Linked DNA regions of Saccharomyces cerevisiae S288C. The gene in region 3 interacts genetically with the main gene of each other region. Each region holds a gene or a part of one and is shown on either strand. Other genes may lie near its edges. The genes, in order: YPT6, RIC1, ENT5 and ENT3.

What was found.
Region 1: mutations in ENT5 (region 3) and YPT6 together harm fitness more than expected from each alone (negative genetic interaction), as found in Saccharomyces cerevisiae (4 studies listed by BioGRID, with this or other methods).
Region 2: mutations in ENT5 (region 3) and RIC1 together harm fitness more than expected from each alone (negative genetic interaction), as found in Saccharomyces cerevisiae (5 studies listed by BioGRID, with this or other methods).
Region 4: mutations in ENT5 (region 3) and ENT3 together harm fitness more than expected from each alone (negative genetic interaction), as found in Saccharomyces cerevisiae (8 studies listed by BioGRID, with this or other methods).

What each region holds. Positions count from the first base shown.
Region 1 is NC_001144.5:663,856-670,605, reverse strand, and holds YPT6 (Rab family GTPase YPT6), read left to right. Parts: upstream 1-1,714; coding exon 1,715-2,362; downstream 2,363-6,750. Other genes in the region: RED1 (Red1p), read right to left, coding at 1-266; TMA7 (Tma7p), read left to right, coding at 944-1,138; VPS63 (Vps63p), read left to right, coding at 2,043-2,369; sphinganine kinase LCB5, read right to left, coding at 2,699-4,762; chaperone ATPase HSP60, read left to right, coding at 5,604-6,750. UniProt on the Saccharomyces cerevisiae protein: Protein transport. Might participate in post-Golgi transport.
Region 2 is NC_001144.5:222,597-232,291, forward strand, and holds RIC1 (Ric1p), read right to left. Parts: upstream 6,001-9,695; coding exon 2,830-6,000; downstream 1-2,829. Other genes in the region: seripauperin PAU23, read right to left, coding at 89-463; COX12 (cytochrome c oxidase subunit VIb), read right to left, coding at 2,325-2,576; AFB1 (Afb1p), read right to left, coding at 6,312-6,986; NFG1 (Nfg1p), read right to left, coding at 7,370-7,855; thioredoxin TRX1, read right to left, coding at 9,106-9,417.
Region 3 is NC_001136.10:762,092-769,866, reverse strand, and holds ENT5 (Ent5p), read left to right. Parts: upstream 1-1,895; coding exon 1,896-3,131; downstream 3,132-7,775. Other genes in the region: DNA-directed RNA polymerase I subunit RPA14, read right to left, coding at 1-342; peptidylprolyl isomerase CPR1, read left to right, coding at 867-1,355; GIR2 (Gir2p), read right to left, coding at 3,364-4,161; putative mRNA-binding protein CTH1, read left to right, coding at 4,712-5,689; NUM1 (Num1p), read right to left, coding at 5,993-7,775.
Region 4 is NC_001142.9:652,312-659,729, reverse strand, and holds ENT3 (Ent3p), read left to right. Parts: upstream 1-3,766; coding exon 3,767-4,993; downstream 4,994-7,418. Other genes in the region: RSF2 (Rsf2p), read left to right, coding at 1-813; VPS70 (putative zinc metalloprotease), read left to right, coding at 1,041-3,476; YJR124C (uncharacterized protein), read left to right, coding at 5,492-6,838; 40S ribosomal protein uS7 RPS5, read right to left, coding at 7,152-7,418. UniProt on the Saccharomyces cerevisiae protein: Involved in the recruitment of clathrin to the Golgi network and endosomes to form clathrin coated vesicles. Plays a role in the trafficking of clathrin between the Golgi network and endosomes.

The DNA.
Region 1 (6,750 bases), on a different chromosome or scaffold from region 3:
AATCTTAATTTTAAAATGAAATGCCAGATATCATCACTTGGAAGATTTGAATCGGTGATTTTAACGGCAACATTTATGATGTGAAATAACAACTCAAAATTTTGAATTACTTCTCTCTTTATTACTAGCAAATGGAGAAATTCCTGCAGTTGTTTAGAAGTTTCCAAAGTCATTAACCCATAGTGGATTCCTTTCGTTTCATTCCTAGTCTGTGCTAAGTCATTTTTCAGGCAAACACCAAAAATCTTTTTCTTCAAACCTTCCATTCTTATCACCGTATTTGCTGTCCCTTTGTGGTCCTCACTGATTAAAAAATCTTTGTTCTATTTTTCTTATTACCTTTAATGCTTCACGAATGATGTGAATGTTTTGCGAATGATGTGATTGAATCCATCTGATCCTGCTGCGAAATCGTAGTTTATTTAGCCGCTGAACCCTTTGAGCAAGTATTTATCGTTTTTAACGTTGAAAAAGTAGTCATATTCAAATTATATAAACCAGCCAATAATACGTTACTTTGCCTTTTTAGATCACACAATTAAGCGGATACAAGATCACCCATCATAAAGGGTTGGCAAACGCCATTGTTTTTGTCGAACCTTACCTGATATCTCCAGAAATCCAATGTATATCTTCTGTATGAAAATATGAATTGTGAGTGCACATGCCTTTTCTAACAGGGAAACCTGTTGTGATTTGTCATTGAATGTGATGAAAAGCTCCTCCAGTCGCCTCGGCTTGGCTTGGCTTGTCTTGGCTTTTTTGGTTTATTCTTTCTGTCCTGAGATAAAAATTGTAGTAAATCTATACTTCTGGAAGTTTCCCGCGACGAAAATGAACGAGGAAAATAAAAAATTTCATGTTTAAAATCCTGTAATTGATTGCTCTTCCACGCACAGTAAGTTGCAAAACCAGAAGAATAACTGAAAAACCCTAAGCAATCATGTCTAGTCGCCAAGGTGGTAAGATGAAGCCTCTAAAGCAAAAGAAGAAGCAACAACAGGACTTAGATCCTGAAGACATTGCCTTCAAAGAGAAGCAAAAGGCCGATGCTGCTGCTAAGAAAGCTTTGATGGCTAATATGAAAAGTGGTAAACCTTTAGTGGGTGGTGGTATCAAAAAATCTGGTAAGAAATAAAAGGCCTTTAACAACGTCTAATAAAAATTTACTCAGTATTTTCTAGTTCTCGTTTTTTAAGTAAATACATATATTACCAAAGAAAAGCTATTTGCAAGATATATCGTTCTTTCCGATGTTTTACAATCGTAATTACTATGTATAATGGTTACATCTAGCAAATTTGGAGGTTTCCTAAATAAAGCCCCTTGCGTGTCTCTCTAGAGGTACGAAAACAACTGATATATAATGGACCCTTTTCTATTGTGGTGACAGGCATAAGGATAAATATTTATAGATGGCTAAGGAAAATAAGAAAAATACTTCTCCCTATTCATGAACCGGGCATCTTGAGTAGAATAGGGTGCTTCTATTCGTTAGTGCTGGTATTAACTTCTAGTGAAAAATGGCCGAATAATTTCCGGGTAATAAAGCCTTCAGCACAGCTCAATTAGTGGAGGAAAATATTGCCCATATATAGATTGTTACTATGTATGATGTAAGAATATCACAATTGGGCACTTAAGGTTGTGTGAAAAGAAGTGTTTGAAGCTGTTGATTCTGAACAGTAAAAGATAAACAAAGAAGAGATTAACAATGAGCAGATCCGGGAAATCATTGACAAAGTACAAAATTGTTTTTTTGGGAGAACAGGGTGTTGGAAAAACATCGCTGATCACTAGATTTATGTATGATACGTTCGATGATCATTACCAAGCCACGATTGGTATAGATTTTCTTTCCAAGACCATGTATTTGGATGATAAGACAATTAGATTACAGTTATGGGATACAGCAGGTCAGGAAAGATTTAGATCATTAATACCTTCATATATCAGAGATTCGAGAGTTGCTATTATCGTTTACGACATTACGAAGAGAAAATCATTTGAATATATTGATAAATGGATAGAAGACGTTAAAAATGAAAGAGGTGACGAAAATGTTATATTGTGCATTGTTGGTAACAAAAGTGATTTATCAGATGAAAGGCAAATCTCAACCGAAGAGGGAGAGAAAAAAGCAAAACTATTGGGTGCTAAAATCTTTATGGAAACGTCCACAAAGGCAGGCTATAATGTCAAAGCTTTATTCAAAAAGATTGCCAAATCGCTGCCTGAATTTCAAAACAGCGAGTCAACTCCTTTGGATAGCGAAAATGCAAATAGTGCAAACCAAAATAAACCGGGAGTCATTGATATTTCTACAGCAGAGGAGCAGGAACAAAGCGCTTGTCAGTGTTAGCACCTAATATTTCAGTTCTATAGGGCATAAGGAGAACTCTTTGTGTGCGTCATATTTTTTAGTGAACTACCAGCACATAATAATTGTACTGATAATATTAATAATAATCATAATCATAATGTACTTGACGATCTGATGTGTAGGAGCTAGTACTCACTAAACATGGTTGTATTAAAGAATGGTATTAAAACTTTTTATAAAGAAGTATGGAGTGTATAAAGTTATCAAACAACAACAAAAACAACAACAACGTAAAAAAAATATAGAAGAAATAGAAATGACATATTCTAGTTTTTGATTAATTGTTCAGTACGAAGGAAAAGATTAAGTAAAGTGTCACATAGAATCGAAATCTGTGTCCACATAACGGCCATTTCTCAGTAACGTCTTGCATAAGCGTGGCATAATTTCGACTTGAAGGGGCTCTAGAGGAAATTTCTCGCCATCGACAGAGAACAAGCCGTTCCCTAGCTTTGGTATTATCTTGTATGCCAAAATTTTAGAGTGTAAGACTTCCGGTTGTAAAACATGGGAACCCTTATCTAGTCCCAGCAGGATTGGTGCCATCCTCGTCAACGAGGTTCTTGCATCGGTGATAACCATATCCATTGTACCATCTGAAGGAAGCGCTGCCGGAAAGAATTTAGTGTCAGCAGCCACATATGGCATTTTACCCGTATAGAAGATACCTAGGTTGTTCGAAATATTAGGATCCAATCTTTCCCAGTCACTAGGGATACCTTCATCTAATGGATATTTTATTTTGAAATCTTCCTCTTTAATTTGATCAGCACTAGAATCTGCCAGATCACGAGATATCAAGTGGGAGTCTTCGTCATCCGCATCCGCATCTTCATCTTCATCTTCGTTTTCGGTTTCGTATTCATTTTCGTAATTGTAATTATCACAATCCTCGTTATCTTTGTTCATAGTAATATGCTGGAATTCTAACGACCCTTTATTTTTGTGTTCCAGGTAATGATTTTTTAACTCGTTTTTTGATTTGGCAGCATACTTTACATATATCTCACAAGGATATTTTTTTTTTTGTATGATATTGAAGGCTACACCCAATTCAAACCTTGCAGGTCCCATCCATCTAATAAATTCAGTGTTTATGTCAGTTTCTGCAATGAGACCATATGTTTGACTTAAAAATGATAACTTTGGGTGCTCTCTTGCATAAGAAGGCTGCGAACAACACATCAAATCAATTCTAGTCTCTATCGATTTAATTAAGCATAAAGTTGAGTACGAAGGATTGTTTGTCCAGTGGCAGGATACGCTCATTGCGTTACCTGATCCGCATGGAATTTCTGTAATGGCGATATTGTTGAATGCTTTGACATGATCAGGCCTTTGGTATAACCCATTGATCACCTCATGAGGAATGCCATCTCCCGAAGCGCAAGCAATAGTGTCATATTTGTCAATATCCATTTCCCGCGCGATCTCTATAGCATGACCAGGGTATTTTGTATAAACCACTTCTATGGAACACCGACTTGCTAATAGTAACGGCTTTGCCTTTGTCATAAACAGTTTTTTCGCCTTACCTTTACCACCAAACGGATTAATGATCACAAATATGGATTTGTTCCTTCTAGTGTTTTTGTAGCTTCTCTTTAAAATCTCCTCAACCAAGTCATCTTCTTCTTTTAAGTGAGAAGATGAATGGGGTTTATAGTCAATATACAATGAAACCCTTTTGGGTACAACGTCATGCCGTCTTGGCCTAGCAAATATAACCTCTACTAGTTTCGTAAAAGGAGATCTGGAAGTCAGGAGGCTACTACTACTGTTACTTCCTCGCGATAGCGAGTTGCCCTTCCTTTCTTTTTTTTGGGAAGACTCTAATTCATCAAGATCACACTTTTCACTAATGTTACTCATTGAGCTGCTTAAAGGTGAACTGGGTGATGAATTGGCATCATAATAATGCAGAGGTTCCTTTTCAATGTATCTGGCATCCAGAATTCGTCCATAGGGGATAACGGTGTTTGCTGGCAATTGACCATTCACCGAAGGATAATGAAGTTTTGGATTAGCAGAAAGATCATCTTTACTTGTATCCGTTGTCGATGTTTCCGATCTGTCTATTGTATCAGTATCGCTTAAACAGGTAACACAGCTAATTAGTGAAGCCGTTTCAAATATACTGTTGTTATCACTGTTGCTTTGAAAGCTAGTTCTACTGATGTTGCTTTGAAAGCTAGTTCTACTGATGTTGTCAATGCTGCTGCGACTTCGTTTATCTGCCATTCTATTTGCGTATGTGTAAGGACTTGATGGTTTTGCCTTGATCATTATTCCTTCCTCAGTCAGTATCGCTGACGTTATTTGCTTCTTCCTGGAATGGCGAGACCTGCCCTTACGTCTCTTTGAAGGTTTCAAAGTCATCTCTTTTGGCTTACTGTTTAAATCTTACACTATTTGTGGTTTTTTCGAGATAATATCAAGAGTCCTTTTACTCTTCTTTTCTTTCCTATTTTGCAACACGTATATACAACAGTTTATGCTGTAGTTATACTTTTTTGATTGTTTTTGTATAAATAGATTCGGCTCACGCAGCTTACGTTCCCTTTCTTCTTCGCCTGCGAAGGCTTTAACAAGGCCCGAAAACACCTTGATTTGCAAATCTAACTATGAATCTTGCAGAAAAGCGGTGGCAACTGAAAGGGAAAAAAACATAGATTAAAAGAAAGCAACATAGTAACATAAAGGAAGAGAAAATTTTGATGATAAAGAAGATGAATAATATACCTAATGCATCCAAATGTTCCTCCTGTTATACTATTGGGAATTATTGCGAGTGCATCCATTCGCGCAATGATCAAGTAGAACGCCAAGACTAGTTGTGCAAAGAAGTACAGTTGAAATTCCAGCCAGTTATGTCTCATCCCTATTCCACTGTTTTTGTAGGTATACAATGGTGTTACGAGCAATTGAAGCTGTTTATTGCCTGGTATTACCTCTGGAAACTTACTTTATAGCCGCCCATCTGTATATGTCATCATATACGGACCTCGTGGAATTTTCCAGAAAACCAAATGGGGAGGGTGACTTTAATTTTGCTTCGTTTTGCCCGGAGCAGAATCCAGACGGACATTCATGTATATATATTGAAGGAGACTAAGTTTTACATTCATTATGTAAGGTCGTGGTTGCGTCTTCATGCACTTCCTTGAATAATATAAGAAAATTCCCACGAGAAAACATCATAAGCAAAAAAGTTTTCAAAATGTTGAGATCATCCGTTGTTCGTAGTCGCGCTACTTTAAGGCCTTTATTGCGTCGTGCTTACTCCTCTCATAAAGAATTGAAATTCGGTGTAGAAGGAAGAGCCTCCCTTCTTAAGGGTGTCGAAACTTTAGCTGAAGCGGTTGCTGCTACTTTGGGTCCAAAGGGTAGAAACGTTTTAATCGAACAGCCTTTCGGTCCTCCAAAGATTACTAAGGATGGTGTTACAGTTGCCAAATCTATTGTGTTGAAGGACAAGTTTGAAAATATGGGTGCCAAGTTACTACAAGAAGTTGCCTCCAAAACCAATGAGGCTGCTGGTGACGGTACTACTTCTGCTACTGTCTTAGGTAGAGCCATCTTCACAGAATCCGTCAAAAATGTCGCCGCTGGTTGTAACCCTATGGATTTGAGAAGGGGTTCTCAAGTTGCAGTTGAAAAAGTGATTGAATTTTTGAGCGCCAACAAGAAAGAAATTACCACATCTGAGGAAATTGCTCAAGTAGCAACCATTTCTGCCAATGGGGACTCTCATGTTGGTAAGTTACTAGCTTCAGCTATGGAAAAGGTTGGAAAAGAAGGTGTCATCACTATCAGAGAAGGTAGAACATTGGAAGATGAACTTGAGGTTACTGAAGGTATGAGGTTTGATCGTGGTTTTATTTCTCCATACTTCATCACTGATCCAAAGTCGAGCAAGGTGGAATTTGAAAAGCCATTGCTATTGTTGAGTGAAAAGAAAATTTCTTCCATTCAAGATATCTTGCCAGCTTTGGAAATTTCCAATCAAAGCAGAAGACCTTTGTTGATCATTGCTGAAGATGTTGACGGTGAAGCTCTTGCGGCTTGTATTTTGAACAAGTTGAGGGGTCAAGTTAAGGTTTGTGCTGTGAAGGCGCCTGGTTTCGGTGATAATAGAAAGAATACAATTGGTGATATTGCAGTCTTGACGGGCGGTACTGTTTTTACTGAGGAGTTGGATTTGAAACCAGAACAATGTACCATAGAAAACTTGGGTTCTTGTGACTCTATTACCGTTACTAAGGAAGACACCGTTATCCTGAACGGTAGTGGTCCAAAGGAAGCTATTCAAGAGAGAATTGAACAAATCAAAGGCTCCATCGACATTACCACCACAAATTCATATG
Region 2 (9,695 bases), on a different chromosome or scaffold from region 3:
TCTAATTATTTCTTACCGTCAAATCATAATTATTTTTATCCGTTCGTAAAGCAATCCAGTGCTAAATACCAATTGTGAGGCCATCGGCTTAGTTTGGAACAGCAGTGTAGATACCGTCCTTGGATAGAGCGCTGGAGATAGCTGGTCTCAATCTGGTGGAGTACCATGGGACACCAGTGATGACTCTAGTGACTTGATCAGCGGGAATACCAGTCAACATAGTGGTGAAATCACCGTAGTTGAAAACAGCTTCAGCAATTTCAACTGGGTAAGTTTCAGTTGGATGAGCAGCTTGGAACATATAGTATTCAGCCAAATGAGCTCTGATATCTGAGACGTAGACACCTAATTCGACCAGGTTAACTCTTTCGTCAGAGGGAGATAAAGTAGTGGTGGCTGGGGCAGCAGCGACACCAGCAGCAATAGCAGCGACACCAGCAACAATTGAAGTTAGTTTGACCATTTTTTTCGATTGAACTTTTGTAGATCTTTTTAGTGAAGATGTGAGCTCACTCGAATGTAAATAACAATGCCAAATTGTCGGAAAGAGTTAATCAAAGCTGCTCTATTTATATGCCGTTTTTTAATAAGCGACGGACGAACAGATAAATTGTTGAATAGCTATTTCACTGCTGATATTTCTCTTACTTGGGCTCCCCTATCCCATACTCTTCACCACTACAAATATGCAGTTGCCCTTTCTTCAACAATGCTTTTTTTATAGATCTCGTATACGGATCCGCGCCTTTGTACTACCTATATCTTATTATGATATATACAGGAGCACAGGAATGTTCGGTACAGGGATGATACCTTTAAAGGAAGTTTTGGCATGCCTTGACAACTTCAATTAATCTTTGGCCAAGAAAATGAACCAGAAATCAAATTTTATTCTGTGCCCTCTGAACGAGGGCAATATCCAATGTTTGACACTAAACGGTTGTCAGGAGAAAAATTGAATGTTTCCCAAATCAGAAACATTAAAATCCCTCTATATGATCAGAGGAGTCGTACCTGTTAGGGTATGAGCGAGGAAACGTGATTGAGAGTTATAAACTGACCATACGAAGAGTTACGGCCATTGATTGGGTTCATGACACCCAGGGAAGTTTCTTTTGGATTAAAATCACAAGTCTTGCAATTGCTGTATGTATTGCATGAGTGAAGTAGTTGGCATCTAATGGATACCCACTTAGGGAGTTTATGGATGAATCTTGTCTTCATAGGGTAGCTCGAGAGTGTTTTTTAATCTAGTGATATCCACTTAGCTAAGCGCGGCTGGAGATACAATATTTACAAAGGCAATTTCAAAAGTAGGAGCGTTTTCAAAGGCCTGCTCCATTCTCCGTTGAGGTAGTAGAAGCAAATATAAACGGTTAATCTTGCTGTTTTCCTTGTTTTGTCTGTTGGTTTTCACTTGCTGAAGCCTGTGGTTCAACAGTACTCGGAGAATCGGCCTTATCTAGTCTCCTTCTGACCTGTAATGCGTAAAATTACGACAAACGTATTTCGTGAAACAATTGATAGGAAAATTGTCATTTGCTTGTTAAGGCAGTGCATTGAGGCTCTTTAAAGGTACTTTAGAAGTTTATGTTACTATCCTTCTAGCCTGATAGAACAATAAGTAAAGAATTGACATTCAGAAATCAGCCATCATTTCGTTTAGTAGTAGCAATCGCAAGTAGTGACTGTAAGAGATAGAAATGTGTACTTCAGTCTGGAACTGGGGCGCTTGTGAAGGATGTGTGCCGATCTCAGGCTGTTGATGAAGGTCTCTTCAAATACTATATTATTATCTTTTAGTAGGTCCCAGGAAGTGCCTTATTCTCAACATGTTCAGCGTTTATCTTTCTCAGCCTGAATGTATTTCAAACGATGACTAGAAGAGATTAGTACCCCTTATATAATCCTCGAAAATGTTGCTATCTCAGTGAATTGAAAGTTCATGCTGACGTCTTTATCAGCGTTATCCATTGCCTTGTTCTTTTCAGTGCAGTGGCAGATGTTACGAGGGTCAAATAATTTTTGAATATATATAGAAATGGCTACTTACTATAATTAAAAATAAATATGAAAAATAAAACTTCAGTACCCCACATCATTCTCATTTTTTTCTGTTTGTTTGATTTTTAGGAATTTGGCTCCATCATGAACATTCGTTAGCGTATGATATCACTTTTTCATTATCTCCTATTGTTACTTTACTTTTCATATAGATATCCTTCATCCCGTGTAGGTCTACTACGCAAAAATGAATTCTAGTAATTAATAATAATGATATAAAAAAGGCTAAGTGCACATTACTAAAAACGAAACTAAGATCCTTAGTCTGAGTTGATATCACCTGCGAAAATACCTTTTTCTCTTTGATCATCCCATTTTTCGATCCAGTCTAGGGGACATAAGGCGTTATAGGTCTTCCAAAAGACCTTGCACGGAGCAAAATCTTCGCCCTTCATATTAACACACTTGTGATAATCCACATAAGATTGCCAACAATGCTTTGTTTGGTTTTGTTGGGGAAATCTAGCATCGAAACCAACTGTATGTAGTGGAGAGTTTTCTTGATCAGCCATGTCTATTATACTGTATTTATGTGCTTGTTCCTATTTGTGAAAGCAAAGATACTTTATGTATTCTTACTAAAATATTTGTATATCTCTGCTAATCATTTTAATGCAACTTTTCTATCTGGTGCATCTTTCATCACCTTTTAAAGATCCTGAAGGGATGGGGATATCGGGCAAAACTACGCGCGACGCATTTCTGAAAATTGATTGGTCAATGTTATGAAGCTATATGGTAAAGAATACATGGTGTCATATAGATTTATTTGAATCTCTCGAGTGCTTTTTGAACCAATTGTGTGTTGTTTTCTCTGTCTAATTCCTTGAGTAAGCGTATTAATTGGAAACACATGTCCCACGAATCGGTAGCTTTAATTGGGTCTGTGGCGTTTGCAGCACTTGTCACCAAAAGCTCTAAGACTTTAAGCATTAATTCTTCATCCTTCAATAAATTAGTGACAGATTTCTCTGACTTTTTTGTAGAGTTATCATTTAGAGCTTTGCTTTCCTCAGTCCCTAAATCTGATTTCTTAAAATGTAGATCATCTCCCAAATCTTTCTCATCGTAATTTAAAAACACTAACAGAAGTACGCCAAGCATTTTAGCCTCATTTTCTTCGATACAGAGTGCTAATAAATCTCTTGGTGTCATCTTTAGATTAGTGAATAGATGGTTCCAGTATTTAGTTTCGATCTTCCTTAAACAATTACTAATAATTTCTAACATACCACTGTGGGTTGGTGGTGAAATATTATGCTCAGGATCGGTGTTGTCATACATCTTAATTAATTTCAGGATATCATCCAAAGAGTCGCTTCGCAGTATTTTAGTAGACAAAATCTTTTCGAGTGCAAATTTGTAAGGCTTTAAAAAACGATAATTGTGTGAAATATCCTCCAAATCTGTGTTGTCTTCTAATTTGGCTAAGATTAATTGGTCGAGGTATATTTGGTGTTTCACCACCAATTTGGAAAATCGCGCGTTAAAAATGCAGTGAAGTGTATGTGTTGTAGCTGTTTCTGGGGTGGTTGATATTGGATACAAATCTTCTTCGATTGGAATGGAAACTAGTGGCTTTTTATCATCCCATAAATCTTCCAAAGAGTATACGACGTAATTATGGCCTTGAACTACAAATATTTCGTCCCTGATAACATCGATTATTTTTTCTATGTTATCCAACAAAGTTAAGGTTTGCCAGCCCCCTCCATCCACTTTGCCAAGCTTTATAAATTTCCTATCGGCAAAAAATAACAAGCCCTCCTTCATGTTAATTATCCACTCAATTTTGTTGGGTAAAACATCAATTGGAATGTTAATTTTGAGATACTGGTAGAATTTTTTGATGATGTTTAATCCACATGGATGTACAGTAGAAATTACATCGAAGACAATTGTCTGTGTATCAGTAACTAAAATAATCTCGGCAGTTTTAAGCAATGCATCAGGTTGTTTTTCAGAAGCATTGTGATTCTTGGATTTCATTTTCAACAACTTATACCGGGATAAAGTATTAACATGTAAACTGAAAACAATCGTATTCTCTGGAACATTGTATTCCCACATGACATAATCTGATAGTTCCACGTCCGGATTCGCTTCTTGCAGTGGAATCTGCAGACATTTCAGATTTGTTGAGCCATCATCATTCTTCATATGACAAACCAAATAATTATCACCTAGCCAATGTAAATCCAACACGTTTTGGTCAGCAAAACTAGACCACATATTGGTCTCTAGATTGTGGATAAGCAGTATGTTTTTGTTCGACACATAAGTAGCAAATAACCTCAAGGAAGAATTAATTTTTACAAAAGCAATATGATTATTGAAAGTCTTTGTAGGAAGTTTTATGACTTGTAAATTATCATTATTGATTGAAGAACTTGTCACAGGTGAATATATGATTACATCATTGTTCGTATTGGTTAATACGTAACATTTTGGGTTTCTGAAATCAAATTGTGTTTGTTTTATTTCTTCCCATAATTTCCAAACTTGATATTTTCCGGAATGAGACACTGTTATTAGTGATTTATCCAAGCATACAAAATCAGAAATTTTATATTCAGCCGCCTTTTTCTCATTTTTATCCTTGCTGTTGTCATTATTGTTATCACCATTATAATCATCTTCGTCAAAATATGTAGCGAATAGCAGATTCCCAAATTCTGTGTAAAAATGAATGTTAACACTATCCTCAGAAACCAAAAGTAATATTTTATCATTAATTTTATCGCAAAGTTTTATCACAAATGGTGGTTTCCAAGAATGGCTTACTTTTTTAATTCTTGTATCAAAGCAGATTATTTTTTCTTTGTAAACGACCACCAGGTATCCATTAACTTCTAGGCAAGTCAAAAGTTCATCTGGTGTGTCCGTTAACGGTATTGCTTCAACAGCTTGCTTTTCAATGTCTATAATGCTTACAATAGTCTGCTTTTCGACGGAATCATGAGATAAAACCATTAATTGTTTATTACACACAATTGTCTTGGATCCCTTCTTCACTTCAACCAACGAGCTCTTGCTAACTTTAAAATCCGATATTGTAAGTATTTGTAATCCATGAGGGAATAAAACTATCAAAACTTCTTCATAACGCCCATCCCCGACTTTGGAAAATGTCTTGATGCCAATCATGTCTATGATTTCATAGTCAAATTTAAGAACTACTTTTAAACGAAGTTCTAGTTTTTTCACGGGGAGTTCATCAATGTTTTCTTGATTAGAAAGAAAGTGTAAAAACCCTTTTTCCTTAGTTATGCCAAATCCATTCTGTATAATTCTTGAAGAACTATTTTTATCAAATACCGTGAGAGTATCATCATCGTTGTTATAGTCATATTCAGCACTGTTCGCTTCTTCTTCACTCATTAAAAGAGGCTCTATGACGGGTATGCCGTATTCTTTGAAAATTATTTCATTTGTGCAGTTTTTTAAAATTTGGTATGTTAAAAGGAAGTTTTTATCAGTCATTACGTAAAATATCAGCTTTCCCTGGTGCCACAATAAGTATTGCGAGTCCTTTTTTGAAATAAGCCCTTCGATGATATCATTATATGGAGCTGATCGTTTCATTGATCTGTTATCGCCAAATTCCTTAAGAGAAGCCATTGTTCGTTCATGGCTAGCTACTAGTGCCATTGGTTTGAAGTTGTAAATGAGCACTCTTGTTGGGGTTAGCATGATAAGAACATTGGCCTGGGGTAGTGTCATTGATTGAAGAATATTGCAATCATCTATTTTAGTACCCTCACCTAATTCGGCGTTGCGGGGTGGAATTCTAAGCAATTGGGGCGGACTGACTGGCCATAAGTGCATTTTCCACGTGTTCAGTTTCTTACAGCTTCCGGTCAATAACACTCTTACCTTACCTTTTTTTTTGTAGAGGCATTTAGGTGTATTTTTTTCAGACTGTTTGATGAACATCAAAGGCGTCGGTATTGCCGAATTAACATCAAAGAACAAAAGCCTGCCATAAAACGACAGAAAAGACAAGATTTTGGCCAAGATGGCAACGCCATTCAGAAGTTATAATAATATGTTAAAAATAAATCGTTTGATACTGTACAAAGTTGATGTTCATCGTTGTCACTAAAAACGCTCTTAAAATCGAATTGTCCATTGAAAAAGTACATACTTATATACATATTTGTATAAATAATACACATATTATAAAAAAAGCGAAAAGGGATGGCGGACCTCCCATGGAATTAAATTGTCAAATTTGGTTGAGGCACTTAAAGGGCAACTGCAAAGATTCCGAACAACGCCATGGGGAAATATAAGCTTTTGGCATGGGCACCATTCTGTGATTGACTAGTTCTGGATGTTGAAGAAGAGTTTGATGCGGATATAAGTGCTGTTGTACTGTTTTCTTCATTAGCCATGGAAATCATGGACTGGCCTGCGTTCGCTGTCGAGAAAGGAACAGAATTGGAAACGGAGTTTTTTTGGCTGGCATAAGATGAGTTAGTCATGGTAGCTTCTGTCTCACCTGTTATGAAGTGTTGGGGAAGGTATATGGTGGTGGCGGAGGCTTTGTTTAGCAAAGAGGTATACCATGGAAAGGCCGTAATGAATGTTTGGAATTGAGTGAACGGAAAACTCTGAGCAATATCAGATTGTAAATCTGCTGTTGAGGCCAAATCAACCATGTGATAGTAGTAGTCAGCAACAGGTTGAGGTAGGGTTAAATGGTTTTGCATCATGTATGAGGTATACTGTGGAAAAGCGGTGTCGAAATCGTTTAAAAACTCCATGAAGAATGCCATGTCTGCATCTGCAGCTGCGGACCTGGCAAGTGTATCGTCATTGGAACTAGACGTTAAAGTTTTGGCAGCAAAACTGTGGCTGATTAGAAAGCTTACCAGGAGAATATTTTTAATGAGGGAGAAAGAAGGAGCAAATATCATTGATACGCAATATTTTCAGGAATGTTGTAAATGGTTCGTAACTGGATATCGAAATCACTTGATTAGAAACAATACGCCGGAATATGATCAGGTAAAGCAGAATAACAAAGAATAAACTTTCTCGATTGAGAGTGTCTTTTTAAATCATCCAAGCTCTTGAATTTTCTAGCATAGCCTTGGATGACAGCAATAAAAAATTTGCCAGGATTTTTCCCTATTTGGGCGTTCAATGAAGATAACGTTTGAAATATTAAAAACTAAAAAAAGAAAAAGGTTTGAAGCAATTAATAATTTATTAAGTTTTTTTTTATTTATCATACTTAAGAATATGGAGACCACGGGTTTTCTTACACCTGCGAAGACCTTGAACCTAATATATTTGTTTAAGAAAACAAATAAGCGATTGTTTCTAACATTAAAACGAAGTAAAGACATGGCTTGACTGAACCTACACCTCCTGTGCTTGTACTTGAACTTATAGTATTAGTTGTTTGAGAGCTTTTTGTTTCATTTCTCGACGAAGAAGGCAATGGCGTGAACTGGGTGACTACCGTAGAATTTGAGGATTGGTAATTTATAGATGTTATGACGCTGGAAGTGACTTTTGGTATAGACGACGATGATGAAGAACCGGTGAAATTAGCAGCAGCTAATGAACCAGTAATAATGCTGGAAGAGGTGGTGCTTGGAAGATGAAGTAGTTGATCGTTAGAATTTCCAGTGTCAAGAAAGGTGTATTGCACTTTCTGTCCAAGGGCAGTATTCAAATCCTGAGCATTTGAATCTGTGAGAAGTTGCGCTTGAACAATGAACAGTTGTAGTAGCACAATTGGGGCGAAAGCTAAAGAGCCAAATTGACTGATCTTCATATTTTTTTTGATTTGTTGACGAGCTATAGGATGATGAAACGGAGGGATATCAAAGTACGTTCTTCAAGCTTACAATTTCTCAAGGTGCTTTACTGGTCAAGATATTCAATATATAGCTAAATATTTATACAAAATGTTTGTTGACGGTTTGTTTATAGTGTTTTCAAAACACCACGAAAAGACTTCATTCTTGCATTCTTTTTTCTACAAGATGAGTCTATACATCTGAAACTGCGACGCCATTTTTTCCGCTGTTCGGGGCATTCTTGGCCAAATCCTCGAAAGAAATAAAACGTCAAAAGTAAAAAAGGTGGGCTAGACGAAACGTTATTATACGTCATAATTGTAGCCGTGTATGAGTGGGTGGAACTTGTATAAATAAACAAGTTCTTACTTATCATATTCTCGCATGCAATGAAATTCTCCAGATTATGACGCTTAGGTCTGGCCAGACGGCTAATGAGGTCCAGAGGAAATAGAAGGATTGTAAGCGGCCTCCACTAAATTTTGACCCCTCATACATGCTTGTTCAAACACAAAAGATTGAGGTTGAAAACTTGGCAAGAATTGGGCTAGGAGAAAGTGGCCAGGTGCTTCTTGTTCAGAACCAAGCAGATATGCTAGCACAATGTGCACCGTTCTATTTTTTTCTATAGTGTGTTTACATTTCTTGGCACATTGCGTTCGGTTTCAAATTTGTATAATTATTATTGGAGCGAGACAGGCGTTTCTGTACCGCTGTTATTTTTAACATCCACTGCGTTTTATGTATCTCTAAAATTGTGCGTTGCCTTTCTTTTGTTTATATTTTTGTTCAAAAAATGAGTTAATAATGATTTTTCATCTTCGGCTTACCGGTCTTGAAAATATTTGTTAAGACAACAGTGGATAAAATAAAACTAAACAACTCAAGCAAAAGTATTCCACTTCTTAAACAAAGCCCAACTGAAAGGTTGCGAAATACTATGTCATTTTGATTTAATCATCTAATGCTCGAGAAAATTTCAGAGCCGTAATACTTAAGTAATCGGAAGAAAAGTATCTCATTCTTCATTTTTCTCCAAATATATACCTCTTGTGTGAAAAATTAATTGTTTCCTCCACCTCCTTTGTGTGGTGGGCAATTGTGTGCTTCCGAGTAAATAACAAAACATAAGGATAATATATAATTCTGTTTTTTTGTCTAAAAAAGGTAAACTATATATAACAAACACAGTATAGAAACACAATATATCGGTCATTGGGTGAGTTTAAGCATTAGCAGCAATGGCTTGCTTAATAGCCGCTGGGTTGGCACCAACAACCTTTGCAACTTCCTTACCGTTCTTGAATAGAAGCAAAGTTGGCATAGCGGAAACTTCATTCTTTTGTGCAACATCACCCAATTCATCGACATCCAATTTATAGAAATCAGCTTGTGGGTATTGTTCAGAGAATTTTTCAATCATTGGAGCAATCATTTTACATGGACCGCACCAAGTGGCGTAGAAATCTACGACAACTAGCTTGTCTTGAGCAATTGCAGAGTCGAATTCGCTGGCAGTTTTGAATTGAGTAACCATTATTTGTATCGAGGTGTCTAGTCTTCTATTACACTAATGCAGTTTCAGGGTTTTGGAAACCACACTGTTTAAACAGTGTTCCTTAATCAAGGATACCTCTTTTTTTTTCCTTGGTTCCACTAATTCATCGGTTTTTTTTTTGGAAGACATCTTTTCCAACGAAAAGAATATACATATCGTTTAAGAGAAATTCTCCAAATTTGTAAAGAAGCGGACCCAGACTTAAGCCTAACCAGGCCAATTCAACAGACTGTCGGCAACTTCTTGTCTGGTCTTTC
Region 3 (7,775 bases):
CGTGGAGACCTGAATGGGCGCGGCGGAAAAGTCTTGGGCGGGTGGCAGACCCTTGAAGTCTCTCTGAATCCTCTTTAATTGCGATATGGAGCTGGAAAGGTTGGTGTCGATGTTGAGGCTGGTGTTAGCCACAGCGGCAGCGTCCGCGTCAGCGGCGTTGCCGCTGATGGTATTCATGGTAGTACTATCAATAATGTTCTCCTTCTCATCGATAAAGCTCTCCAGAAATTGAAGAACCTCGTCAGTAGAGACATGTTGGGGCAGCTGCGTGGCATGAATGACCACAGGCGTGTTTAGCGTGGTAGCAGTGTTATTACCTGTTCTTCTAGAACCTTTCATCATCTTGTATTATCGAAATCTTACCTCAGACGTCTCCAGTTCTGCTCTGCCTTACCGATGAGACCTCTATAATCAATGTGATTTAAACATATGCATCATCTTGAAGTAAGCTCGAAATGAAAAATTTTACACCCGCAATATGCTTACCCGTCGCTGTTAGATGTTACCCGCCTTTCGCCCCTTAGGGGTTTCCACCGCCCCCCTCGTCCTCTACGGTATTTTCTGGGGCGCCCAGCCCGCCACGTCCCGCCTCGTCTCGAATTTCTTCCTCTGCTAGACGGGCTTCCACGCGCTTCCACTCATTTCTGTCTCTGGTAATGGCCGTGGCCCTTCTCACTTTGGTTGGGCTTACGCTGACAAGTGTCTGTTCGATTCCCTGTATAAATATAAACGTATTCTCTTGAGCCTTCTATCCTTTTGCCACTGTCGTCATCATTTGTTCCTCCTTTTTCGCTAGATAGGTTATATTAAGATTTGTCTTGAATTTAATATCTCAACTCAATCCAAACTCAACCGCTAATACTACCATGTCCCAAGTCTATTTTGATGTCGAAGCTGATGGCCAACCAATTGGCCGTGTCGTTTTCAAGTTGTACAACGACATAGTCCCAAAGACTGCAGAAAACTTCAGAGCTCTATGTACCGGTGAAAAGGGATTCGGCTACGCTGGCTCTCCATTCCACAGAGTTATTCCAGACTTCATGTTGCAAGGTGGTGACTTCACTGCTGGTAACGGTACCGGCGGTAAGTCTATCTACGGTGGCAAATTCCCAGATGAAAACTTCAAGAAGCACCACGACAGACCAGGTTTGTTGTCCATGGCCAACGCCGGTCCAAACACCAACGGTTCTCAATTCTTCATCACCACCGTTCCATGCCCATGGTTGGACGGTAAGCATGTTGTCTTTGGTGAAGTTGTTGACGGTTACGACATCGTTAAGAAGGTTGAGTCCTTGGGTTCTCCTTCCGGTGCCACCAAGGCTAGAATTGTTGTTGCCAAGTCCGGTGAATTATAACCGCTCTGCCTGGAACAATACAGCAAAAATTGAAACGAACTATTCTCTCTTAAATTATATGTATATGTATAAGGTATGTGTATGTATGACAATCAATTCTTATAACTAACTCTTCCTACCTATATCGGAGTATGTTGCCAGGCTTGCCAACTAGCCAACTACCGCCTAGGTTATGCCTGTTAAGTTGACGCCGCCGGGTACCGCCCCCTGTTTTTCCCACGTTTCTTTCTTTCCTCTAGGTAACGGATTTTCGGCTTATTTTCCACAGCGAGAAAATTTTCTTTCTCCTGCACTTTTTTTCATATTCAGGTCCTTTGATCCATTCATTCATTCTTGTTTTAATTTCAATCTAGATTTTAGTTTTCGGTTGAATTTATCTTTAGTTTTTTATCAATAAGAATTGGTCTAGCTTATCTTTCCAGGCTGCTTATAGTTTACTTTTTTTAAAAAATTATATTTCTATCCAATATACAAATCGGAAGGGAAATTCATATACACAAATTAAACGTTCCAATTGCATAAATACCAACACCATACAAAATGGACTCATTATCAAAAAAGATTCAAAATTTAGGTATCCATGATATTAGAAATGCCGCAAGGTTTGCCCAAAACGTGATAGTCCAATATGAGCCTTATCAGATAGATATCCGTCGTGCTACAAATACCGATGCTTGGGGCCCCACACCGAAGCACCTCGCCAAGGTTTTAAGGAACAGATACCAAGTGCCGCTCTACTTGATGACAGAATACACGTTGAAAAGATTAGTCGACCATATCGCTACCAGGCCCAAGAACCTATACGAAAAGGCAAGAAAGGACTACGTTAATTATGGGTCCGAATGGAGGGTGGTCTTAAAATGTCTAGTAGTCATTGAATTCCTATTATTGAACGTCGACACAGGTGACGAACTGAATCAGATTAGATCATGTTTGCTCACTCATAAGCATATTTTAACCAGGGAGATTGCCCAATTCAAGGTAAAATTCTCCAATGATGGTAAAATGGAGATTCATGAGAGAGGTATTAGGAAAAAGGGAGAACTTATCTTGCAATACTTGGAAGACTCACAATTTTTGAAAAAGGAAAGAGCCAAGAATAAGAAGAATGCCTTGAAAATTCGACAGCAAGGAGAATCCTCCATTTATAATGCCAACCAGATTTCAACGTCTGCAAGTTACGATAACATCGACGACGATGAATTTGATGCAGATGCAGATGGCTTTGACAGTGAAATGGATGCTAATAATGTGACCAACTTCAATGTTCCTGTGGAAACAGAAGCAAATTCGAATACTCGCAGGCGTTCTCATATGGAAGAACAAAGAAGACAAAGAAGGGAGATATTAAGAGAGCAGATCAAAAATAAAGAACAGCAGAGGAAAAGAAAGCAACAACAAGATAGCATCCCTGACTTAATCGATCTTGACGATAGTACTAGCACCACGAATAATATAACAATAGACAATGGTAATAATGACAACAAAAACAATAATATCAACAGCAATAGTGATGATGATGATGATGAGTTTGGCGACTTCCAAAGCGAAACGAGTCCCGACACAACAGCACCTAAAACTTCCAATAGTAAAATAGATGATTTGCTTGACTGGGATGGCCCAAAGTCAGACACAGATACCACCGCTGCTGCGCAAACATCATTGCCCTTTGCGGAGAAAAAACAGCAAAAAGCCCGTCCTCAGGCTACAAAGGACAAGTCGAAGGGAAATGATGCATTTTCCGACTTATTCTCTTACTCCAAGTCGTTGGTCTAATCACCAAATACCCCTTCATCTCCCAATACATTCAATACAGTCAACAAATTTTCATTCTCAGATATATGTATCCATATATACACTAATAATATCTTACTAAAAACTTGTCTATTTCCTTCTTCAAATGTCAGTTTTCTTTTTATTGAATATCAAAAAAATATTATATAGATACATTTGTATATGTCATTATCCATGCAGAAGAAAATACTTAAATACTTAAGTACACAAGTATTTATTGATTTGCTATTTCGGTCTTGGCAAGTCCCTTGGCTACGTCATCTACACTCGCGTCATCCTCTTCCATATACTCGTCGCCTGTGCCCACCACGCCTTGTTCAAACATTTGCTTACCGGTTAGCTTCCCATGATGAGCCTTCATCCTTCTCACCTGGTCTCTTTCATCCAGTTTCAGTTCTTGGCGAAATTTAGACCTCCATTCCAAGTACGATTCTCTTGTGACTTTAGTACCATGGAACTTGGCCTGTTCCTTCTTTTCACGTTCTTGTGCTTCCAGCTCGTACTGCTTCTCGAGCTTATTCAATTGTTCACTATACCATTGCTCACATCTTTCTTTTATGGATGAAATCAATGCAAAACACATTTGCATACCCAATAACATATCGGTTTCGATTTGCGATTCTAATTGTACGGTTAATTCAGGCAAGTACCCCTTAAAGCTTATTAAATCTGGCAGGTTTTCAAACTTTTTCAGTACTTTATTACCATGGTCGTCATATTCAACCTCGTCTTCATCTTCCTCGTTATCTTCTTCGTTGTCATTGAGGGCTACTTCTTGAGCTTCCAATGAAATCAGGCATGGTTCGTCAGGGTAGTTTTCTGGTAACTTGAATTCGGCGATTATAGTGTGCTCTTTGGTTAAAACAGAAGTAGAATCACCTGTATCCAGCTCTAATTTAATGGCTACTTCAAATTTAATCTTTGGGTATTCATCGTTTATGATCCTCAGTTCATCAGGATAAATGGACTCTAAAACTTCTAGTTCCTGCTTCTGTTCTTCCTTATAATCCATAGTATTAACAAGTGCCTTCTGGATATGGAGGGAGGGCTTTTCCTTAAATTATACCAACCGACAGCATGGGAAACTCAGCTCTTTAAAGCCAATCTAACGATGCCTGCTGATTTTACAATTGGAAAATAGAAAATTTTCATTTTCCACCTTCTGTTACCCGAGTTTATAGACCTAGGATTTCCAATCATTACTTATTAGGACATTCGGGAAAAATATACATATATGGCCCACTTCTCTCACATCTCTTTTAGGGTCTGTGCCAATGGCACCCAAATTTTTCTTCTTTCTTTTTCGCTCGTATTCTCTCACGCTCTTGATCAGTGTGAGCAGTTACTAATATACTGGATCAGAGAACATTAACTCAAAGGTTGATAGTGTAGATCATTGGACATAGTGTGACGGTTTTGCACTCTTGTTGCGCTTGCTCTCTTAACAAGTCACATCTTATTTAGCCTCTTCACCCATAAGTTGATTGTAAAGCCGTAGAACCCTATATCACAGTCTCTTCGGCAACTCAACCAATAAGAACTATTAAGGATTAACACTAGCCATGATGCCGAATGTTGCTCCAAACAGCTACTATTTAAACATACCGAATGCCAATTCGACCTCAACGACTACGTCCTCGATCTTTTCTGATCTCAACAAGGAGTACGAGTCAAAGATTAAAGAAATCGAAGAATATTATATAAAGACACTGCTCAATGAAAATACCGATAATGATGACAGCAGCAGCTCCGAGGGGCATAATATAAATGAAACGGACATTTTAAGTGAATACTCACCAAGGCCTTCTCCTTGGTTACCATCCAAACCAAACTGTTATCATCCGTTGGGAGATTTTAAAGACTTGATCATATCAGATTCCAGACCTACAAATACATTACCTATTAATAACCCTTTCGCAGGCAATAATAACATCTCAACACTTGCTACAACTGAGAAAAAACGTAAGAAAAGGTCACTCGAAGTTGAGATTAACCCTACTTACACGACAAGTGCATTTTCATTACCCCTGACAGCGGAGAATTTACAAAAACTATCTCAGGTGGATTCTCAGTCTACTGGACTTCCATACACACTTCCAATTCAGAAAACAACAAAACTGGAACCTTGTAGAAGGGCACCTTTGCAGCTTCCTCAATTAGTCAATAAGACCTTATACAAAACTGAGCTCTGTGAATCTTTTACTATTAAAGGCTATTGTAAGTATGGAAATAAATGCCAATTTGCTCATGGTCTTAATGAACTGAAATTCAAGAAAAAATCAAACAATTATAGAACTAAACCTTGCATAAATTGGTCGAAGTTAGGCTACTGTCCGTACGGTAAGCGTTGCTGTTTCAAACACGGTGATGATAAGGACGTTGAAATATATCAAAATGCTAACGATGGAAGAAGTAAGGATACGGCGTTGACTCCACTTCCTACTTCCCTAGCCCCAAGCAACAACGATAATATCACTAATTTGAGTAAGCCTAGGAACTTACATACTAGTGTTAAAGCATTGCAAAGGATGACTTGGTAGTCGGTCAACAACAAAGCCCTTTGAATATTTGGCGTATTTCTGCTGCCTCTCCTTATTTATTTATTCATTATCGTTTTCATATTTATTTCAGTCACAAAACAAAATTAAAGAATTCGTGACCTACTAACATGAGAATTAGTTAATTTAATCTTTTTAGTTTATTTATTTCATTAGGTAGAATTTTTTTTTCTTTCTCTGATCTTTCAGTGTTACTCATCGGTGGCAAACGTGTTTACAGGACTAAAAATCGAAATAATGATTATTATTGTTCTTAATTTACTTAGAGTTATTTAGTTTTTTTAACTATCGTAAATTGCCAAATGATCGGCTTTGTGGTACTCTATGTCTTAGAGACCTTGTAGATACGGACCTTCTCGATGCGCTAAGTCTTTTACTGGAGCTCTTTGTATTTTCGCCGGGCAATGGGAAAATCTTTCCTGAATACATATTATCTGTTGGATCATCAGCGATGTCCTCTAAACTTATCCCTTGCATGTTCCTTTGAAGTAAATAACGTAATGAATTATACCAAATATTGTGTCTTTGCCTTGTAGGACAAGTAAACTTAATAGTCCTAGTTTCTGTGGTAACAACAATACTTTTGTGATACAATCCTGTTGGATATGGGTTTGGGTCTGTGACACTTTCTACTCCTAGAATGGCAACACCTTTTGTTTTGGTATTGGCAGGATTCTCTAGGATGGGATTAGAAGCGGACCAGTACAAAGTTAAGGTATATGGATGAACCCAGAAGAATCTTTCATGACGTGATTCGAATCCAAAAGGTCCCAAGCGTGGATAATACTTAAACAAATATTCCCCAATGACGGTTTGGGTTAACGCGGGTATTATGCTTGGTTCGTTCAATGATGCTAAAGTTTGTAAAGATGCCGTCCTACTGGCAGATCCTGCACGTGACATAAATGATGCTACTATATCTCGTCTAGATGCTGGCGTATTCCTCGATGAATGTGTGGTTTTTGAGGTTGAATTAGAATTCAGACTCTGTTGACGTTTATGGTGCTTATGATGATTAGTACGATGAGACTGCTCTTCTATTTGTGGATGACTTTCGGAATCTTCATAAGCAGTTGTTGCTGCTGCTTCTGCAAGTCCCTTTTTTGCTCCAGACTTTGTGGACACAGTAGATGTTTTATTGTTTAGCTTATGCGACACATACTCATGTTTGGATGCCGTGGCTTGACCTTTCTTATCTTCCTTTGTTGTTAGTGCAATCTGGAGCCCACGCTTTTTAACTTCCGCTTGTAATTCTTCATTACTAACACAGTTCCATTTCATGTCTTCAGGTGACATTAGATTATGGTAATAGGACGCGGAAAGCACAACTATATCGCTCATATCTTGAGCACTTGCATATGATGCACCCACAAAATTACTTTCAGGAATACACAACATACCATATTTCATAGCTTGAGTTTTAATAATGTCTACATCATTTTTGATTTCTTGGCTTTCATCTACAAAGCTATCAGATATATCGTCACCATAAACCGCCTCATTTTGACTCATTATATTATCATCTCTTGATAACAGTGTTTTCTCCCTACTAGTCAAAATCAAATTACGATCGCCAGCGGGTTTCTTGAGTTGCCTTACTGTGAATGTTGGATCATCCGGCCCATATTCGACTTCTTCGTTGTCCATATCATTGTGGGGAACGGTGTTTTGGAAGGCACCTTCTTGCGCTGTGTTTGTGGTTTTTGCTGCTAAGTTTTGATTTTCTGACAAGGGATTATTCATTTCTTCCATGCCACCATTCAGATTAACCGCGTTATCTTTTAGTATATGATATTCTTCAAATTCCTGATCAGAAATGAGGGTCATACCATATTTTTCTGCTTTTCTAGATAAGTGATCAAGATCTATGCTACTGGCAACGCTAGTGTCATCGTTGTCCTTCGAAAATAATGGAGCTTCAATGTTTTTCAGATTGATATTTGATTTTTCGAACGGAACTAATTTGTAGCCTAATTTTTCAGCAGAATTCTTGATGTTTTCATAGGCGGGAATGAAAATGGTAGCATCTTTCACTGTGGATGATTTCGAGATTATGTCAGTATAATCT
Region 4 (7,418 bases), on a different chromosome or scaffold from region 3:
ATGTTAAAATACTGGGAAAACCTTTATTTGAAAAATGGTGGCATCTTGACACCTACCGAGAATAGCATGTCAACAATAAACGCCAATCCAGCAATGAGGTTAATAATTCCGGTATATTTGTTTGCCAAAATGAGACGGTGTTTGGACCTGGCACATGTTATTGAGAAAATCTGGTTGAAAGATTGGTCCAATATGAATAAAGCTTTGGAGGAAGTTTGCTATGACATGGGTTCATTGAGGGAAGCTACCGAGTATGCACTGAATATGGTGGATGCGTGGACTTCATTTTTTACGTACATTAAACAGGGCAAGCGCAGAATTTTCAATACTCCTGTATTTGCGACCACATGTATGTTCACTGCAGTATTAGTGATTTCGGAATACATGAAATGTGTAGAGGATTGGGCACGCGGGTACAATGCCAACAACCCTAACTCAGCATTATTGGATTTTTCGGACCGTGTCTTATGGCTAAAAGCAGAAAGGATTTTGAGAAGATTACAAATGAACTTGATACCGAAGGAGTGTGATGTGTTGAAATCGTACACTGATTTCTTAAGATGGCAGGACAAGGATGCCCTAGATTTGTCAGCACTAAATGAAGAACAAGCACAAAGGGCCATGGACCCGAATACCGATATAAATGAGACAATTCAACTAATTGTAGCGGCAAGTCTATCCTCCAAATGTTTATATTTGGGTGTTCAAATATTGGGTGATGCGCCAATTTGGCCTATAATATTATCGTTCGCTCATGGTTTGCAATCAAGAGCTATCTATAGTGTTACGAAAAAAAGAAACACTAGAATATAAGTCCGATTTACAAATATATAATGGCGGCCGTCTCTATACTATAGTATTTACAGAATTAAAGCTTAGAACTATCATAACTTTCATAATATACCACCAGGCTTCAAAAAGGCATTGTTCCATTCGGAGTTTGCTTGAGTTTGATGGCCCGGGTAAAAAGGTTTGACAAGGCAAGGGGCCGTACTTATTAAAACAATTTCAACATGCACAATTAAGAATGTAAGAGATATATGAGAATGATACAGAGAGAGAGAAAGAGAGAGAAAGAGGAAGGTCAATTAAAGGAGAGAACTGTTGTTAATATGGCAGACCCTGATGACAATGAGGCCGAAGCCACTGGATTACAACAATATAGTGGCGAGACCACTCGCGATGACAATGAAGAAAGCATGAATGATTCTTTCACTTTAACATCCAGGAATAGAGGCAGAAGTAATACAATATCTAGTATTGTTAGTGGTTATGAAATAATGAAAGAACATATGGACAAGGAAAAGTTTATGTACTTGATTCTAGCGAGTCTCCTTTTGTACATGGGATTTGTTGCCGCATTTGCTCCCAGGACGTCTTTATCAAGAGACTTTCGGCGGTTTCACTCTTCCAGATTGACGAATGCAGAGGTTTATAGGATATACTTGAACTCCTTGCAACAGGAAAATAGAGCGAAAGAACATGTATACAAGTATGCTGGGTACATGAGCAACGGAGCAAGTGATTCGTCAACGTTTAAATATACCTTGGACGAGTTTCTAGATATGGGGTACAAACCCAAAGTTGAAAAATATTACCCATGGATAGGTGAACCAGTAGACACTAACGTAGCTCCTTTAGAAAATGGTAAAGTGGTCTACGAAGCAAGCATGATCGAGGATAGAGTTAAAGGTGATCCTGCTTCTCACGCTAGGAAAAGGCAAAAGGGTTTCCATCAATATTCAAAAAATGGAAGTGTAACTGCTCGATACGTGTTTTGCAATTATGGTAGCATCAGTGATTACAAGCTACTTTTGAAGAAAAACATTGATATTGAAGATAAAATCCACATCGTACGATCGGGTAAAATATTACCTGGATTAAAGGTAAAGAATGCAGAACTTTATGGCGCTTCCAGTGTCATTATATATACAGACCCATTTGACGATGGTAAAGTTACTGAGGAAAATGGGTTTTTACACTATCCTTATGGACCAGCAAGAAACCCAAGTTATATTAGGAGAGATTCTGTAAACTATTTCAGTGACACTCCAGGAGATCCGACAACTCCAGGGTATCCCTCCAAGGATTCCGACACTGAACATATGTCACCGGTAGGGAGAGTGCCGAGGATACCATCGGTGCCGATGAGTGCTAGAGATGTCCAACCAATTTTAGAAAGATTGAATGGCAGGGGTTTTCAAATTGGGCCCGGTAGTAATATAAAAGATTTTGGATCATTCACTGGACCTTCAAGCTCTATCGATAAAGTCCATTTGCATAATGAGCTAACTTACAACATCAAGGAAATGAGTAGTGTAGAGGTTAGTATCCCTGGTATATTCACTGAGGGGGAGATTATTATCGGAGCTCATAGGGATTCGCTCGCCTCGAGTAGCGCCGGTGATGCAAATAGTGGCAGCGCTATTCTTTTAGAAATTGCACGAGGAATGAGTAAATTACTTAAGCATGGTTGGAAGCCACTGCGTCCTATCAAACTAATAAGTTGGGATGGTGAACGATCCGGCCTTCTGGGATCTACAGATTATGCAGAAGCTCATGCTGCGATTCTCAGGAGAAGGGCCTTGGTATACCTAAATCTAGATAATGCAATCTCTGGGACAAATTTTCACTGTAAAGCCAACCCACTTTTACAAGACGTGATATACGAAGCTGCTAAGCTCACGGAATTTAATGGGCACGAAGACTGGTCATTGTTCGACCATTGGAAATACACTTCTAATGCCACTATTTCTCTACTTGATGGGTTGTCTAGTTACACTTCATTTCAGTACCATCTTGGAGTGCCCGCTGCACATTTTCAGTTTAATGCCAATGATACTTCAGGCGCAGTCTATCATAGTAACTCCGTATTCGATAGCCCAACTTGGTTGGAAAAATTTACCAATTCTGACTACAAGTTACACAACACCATGGCCATGTTTGTAGGTTTGACAACGCTGATGCTGAGTGAAAACGAACTGGCAAGATTCAATACACATGTTTACCTGAAGAAAATATATAACTGGTATATCGCATGGCACTCTAATCTATCTTCAGCATTTCCCCAGGACGATGAAGTGAACAGCTTAGCAAAAAGGGTTCTGGACTTATTAAAAGTTGCCACACAGGAAGATAGCATCCAATTTGACCAACAAAATGGTATTCTCTATAAAGAGTGTAGGGAAGCTTTACCTGTTTGGGCTTTTTACAAAAAAATCAAGAGCTATATTAAACTGCAACGATCCAATAGCAAATCAAAGCAAATTGATCAATTATTTATTACACACAGAGGACTGAAAGACAGGGAATGGATGAAGTACTCTCTTTTAGCACCTAGTAAGTTTGAGGGATCTGTCGGGGAAGTTTTGCCCGGCCTTCACGAAGGATTGGCTGATATTGATAGAAACGAGGTCATTCAGTGGTTAACCATTTTGCTAAGCCAATTCAGCAACGTTCGCTATTTACTTCAATAAGCATTTAAGTACCTCACCTCAGTATATACATTTATTTTATTTGCATACGTAGAGTGACTTTGAATAATAACCATGAGAGGCTTTTTTGTATATACTCTATAAACATGGCTTCAATTTCTTATACATGTCACACCGTACGTTGTGCGAGGTGATTAGGAAAAGTAAAAGGGGACTAGAAGAATCATGAAATGATTTGTAGATACAGTTATTTGAGGAAAGCAAAAATTACCAATTCAGGAAGGTGTAGGGACGTCGATAGGAGATCACATCGTTAATTAGTGTTAGGAAGAATGAGTTTAGAGGATACATTAGCCAACATGTCATTATATGACGCCAAGAAATATTTTCGTAAAGCTCAAAATGTTGTTTTCAATTATACTGAGATGGAGGGGAAAGTTCGTGAAGCGACAAACAACGAGCCTTGGGGTGCCTCATCCACTTTAATGGACCAGATTTCTCAAGGAACTTACAATTTCAGGGAAAGAGAAGAAATTTTGTCCATGATATTCAGAAGGTTCACTGAAAAGGCAGGTAGTGAGTGGAGGCAAATTTATAAAGCCTTGCAATTGCTCGATTACCTTATCAAACACGGTTCTGAAAGGTTTATCGATGATACAAGGAATAGCATTAACTTAATTAGGATTTTAGAAACTTTTCACTATATTGATTCCCAGGGAAGAGATCAAGGAATTAATGTCAGAACTAGGGTCAAAGCTTTGATTGAATTATTGAGCGACGATAATAAGATACGCGCAGAAAGAAAAAAGGCAAGAGAAACGGCAAAGAAGTACAAGGGCGTTGCTGGAGGATCTGCCTCTGCTGATGGCAGTTTGAATTCGAAGGCAGGTTTCACGTCAACGAAAGTGCACGGCATTAGCGTGAGTGCTGATTTCGATAGTGACAATGAAGATAACGAAGATGGTTCTTTTAGTCAAAATGGATATAACGATAATGCCTCGAGAGCCACATCTACTCCTGGGCAAGGAAAACAAGAACCAGAGGACTTTGTTGACTTTTTTTCTAGTGAGTCTTCAAAACCATCTAAAGAACTCATACAAGAAGATGAAAAGAAGGCGGACGAAGAAGAGGACGATGATGACGAGTTTTCAGAATTTCAAAGCGCCGTCCCTGTTACCAACCCTGCTAATTCGTTTAACTTGCTAAACACGAGCCCAATTGAGGGTATGCCCGCCACCACGAGTTCAATGCCTTTTTATAACAGCTCCACTACCGACCAAGGCAAGATTACCCCAGCTATTGCGGAACCTAAAAAAGTAGATCCTTTTAGCTCTCTCTTTTCAACTGCAAAGGCATCTGCAGAAGCACCTAGTGCTCCTAAAGCATCCCAAGCGAAAGCCGCTGCCTCTAATCCTGTATCTAATAGCACAACTGCACTAAGTACAGATCAAGATGATGATGACGAATTTGGTGAAATGCATGGTGGAGCTGTTCAACAAGAACAGAATACCAATAATAACCATACATCATCCAAAGAAATCGATTTACTTTCCTTTTGAGTGATATTATTGGTTTACACAATATGTAAATGTTTTATAACAATAGAAAGTACTTTGTAACAGGTATTACGAACATTACTATCTAATCTCCACTGTATTTCTCCTTTATATGTTTGTCTTGATTTCGTGAAATAGTTTGTGAACATTTTTTTGATCTTTTTTTCGTAAAGAAGGGCCCTTTTCAAATTTATTTACATTTTGGTCATTTGAAAATACTTTACTTAAAAAGACGAGGAAGAAACTGTAAATCCATAGTTCGAGAGTTGAAGTGCCCTTCAAAACAAAAACTCCTGACTTTTTTTGCTCATTTTTAGTCAATGAACTAAAACTCACCTTCCTTCTCGTTTATTTTTGCCTAGCATTATAGAGCAATTATAACTATATATTAAAGTTGACGCACCGAAAAAAAAGGCACGAAAGAAAACTCTACTAATTTTTCACATCTCGAAAAAGCTCATTGCAGAAGGATTTACCAATATTTCTAAAGTTAACGTAACCATGGCACCGGAAATTTTTGTTAAATTCAAGTGTGCAAGTAGAGACATAAAGCTACTATGGGCGTCCGTCTTTCTTAGACTTCTATCATATGGTTTAACAAATCAAGTTTTGACGCTTTTTTTAAATGCCATCAATATGACAGAGGATAAAATTGGGCTGTTTATGTCATTAACACTGGCAGGGGATGTAATTTGCTCTTACATTCTTACTTGGTATGCGGATTCCTGGGGCCGAAGAAGAGTCCTAGTTTATGGTTGTGCAATGATGTTGTTAAGTGGGTTGGTTTTCAGTTTTAGCGAAAATTTCACCCTCTTGCTAGTATTTGCTATCTTCGGTGTTATATCGCCTTCAAGTGATGAAGTCGGGCCTTTCAAATCTATAGAAGAGGCCATGATTGCACATCTGAGTCCTCATAATGCAAGACCAGAGATTTATGCTATTCACGCCTTGGTTGGAACAATTGGAAGCGCTCTAGGTGCAATAATTTGTGGTATATTTGTAGATCTTTTGAAAAGAACTGGTTTAGCTGCTACTGATTTGCAATGTTATAAATTAGTTTTCTTACTGTATGCCTTCTTCGCCTTTTGCAAAATGGTCATCATGCTCTTATTATCAGATGCTACAGAATTGGACGGGCATTATGAACATACAGATTGCAATGAAGAAACAGCTGAACCATTGGACGTTAACGATGAAACTGCACCATTAATGAGACAAGCAACTCACCCAGAAGAAAGATCCAACAAACTATCTAAGGAGACCGTTTCGGTTTTGATGAAATTGTTAGTAATCTTCATGGTCGACTCTCTCGGGTCCGGGTTTATGACAAGTGGCTGGATGGTTTACTACTATAGTAAGCAATTTTTGATGGGATCTCTGGCGTTGGGTACTTTATTTTTCATCACGCAACTGGTTATGGCATCTTCCACCATCCCATCATCAATAATTGCCAGATGTTTTGGCCCAGTAAGAGCCACACTATTGGTCCAAATTCCATCAGGGATATTTTCTATTCTCATCCCTATGGCCAAGAATTACTTGCCCTTATCTATTTTGTTTTTGAATCTGCATTTTGCAACAACTGCCATGGACGTTACACCAAGGCAAATTCTATTAACAAATATCATCAAACCAAGAGATTTAACCAAAGTTATGGGGGTGGTCAACATTGGAAAGACATTTGCTCGGTGTGTTGGTCCAATATTCACGGGTATACTTGCTAACAATAATTATTTATGGCTATGTTACATCATTAGTGGGTCCTTGGTGATAACGGCGGATCTAATACTGGCATGCATGTTTTTAGGAGTGGACGCTAAAATTAAAAAGCAAATGAACCGCCATTAATGCAGCAGCAAATGTAGAGTGACTTAGAAACATGTGTAGATCATTTCAAGGAAACGTTACGTTTAGAGACAATGTAAATAGTACCCAGTTAAAGTATCTGACACACGAGGAAGTACAACCAATAGCATTTATATTTACTTGATAGATTTGCGTAAGATATATTATTTAAAAATTGATAGTCCTATTTTTTTTTACATCAAAAGATAAGATTGTATTATGTTATAAATTTAAACAATAGAGTGTACAAAGAAGATAAAAGTAATAATAAGAAAAACATATGTAATATTGAAAATCTTTCACTTTTTTTAGCTTCTTAACGGTTAGACTTGGCAACACGTTCCAATTCATCCTTCTTCTTGATAGCGTAAGAAGTAGAGGAACCCTTAGCAGCATTGATCAATTCTTCGGCCAAAGTTTCAGCAATGGTCTTGATGTTTCTGAAAGCAGCTTCTCTGGCACCAATGGTCAACAAAGCAATAGCTTGGTTAACTCTTCTCAATGGAGAAACATCGACAGCTTGACGTCTAGCAGCACCACCACCACCGACTCTGGTGGTGTCTTCTCTTGGACCAGTGTTGGT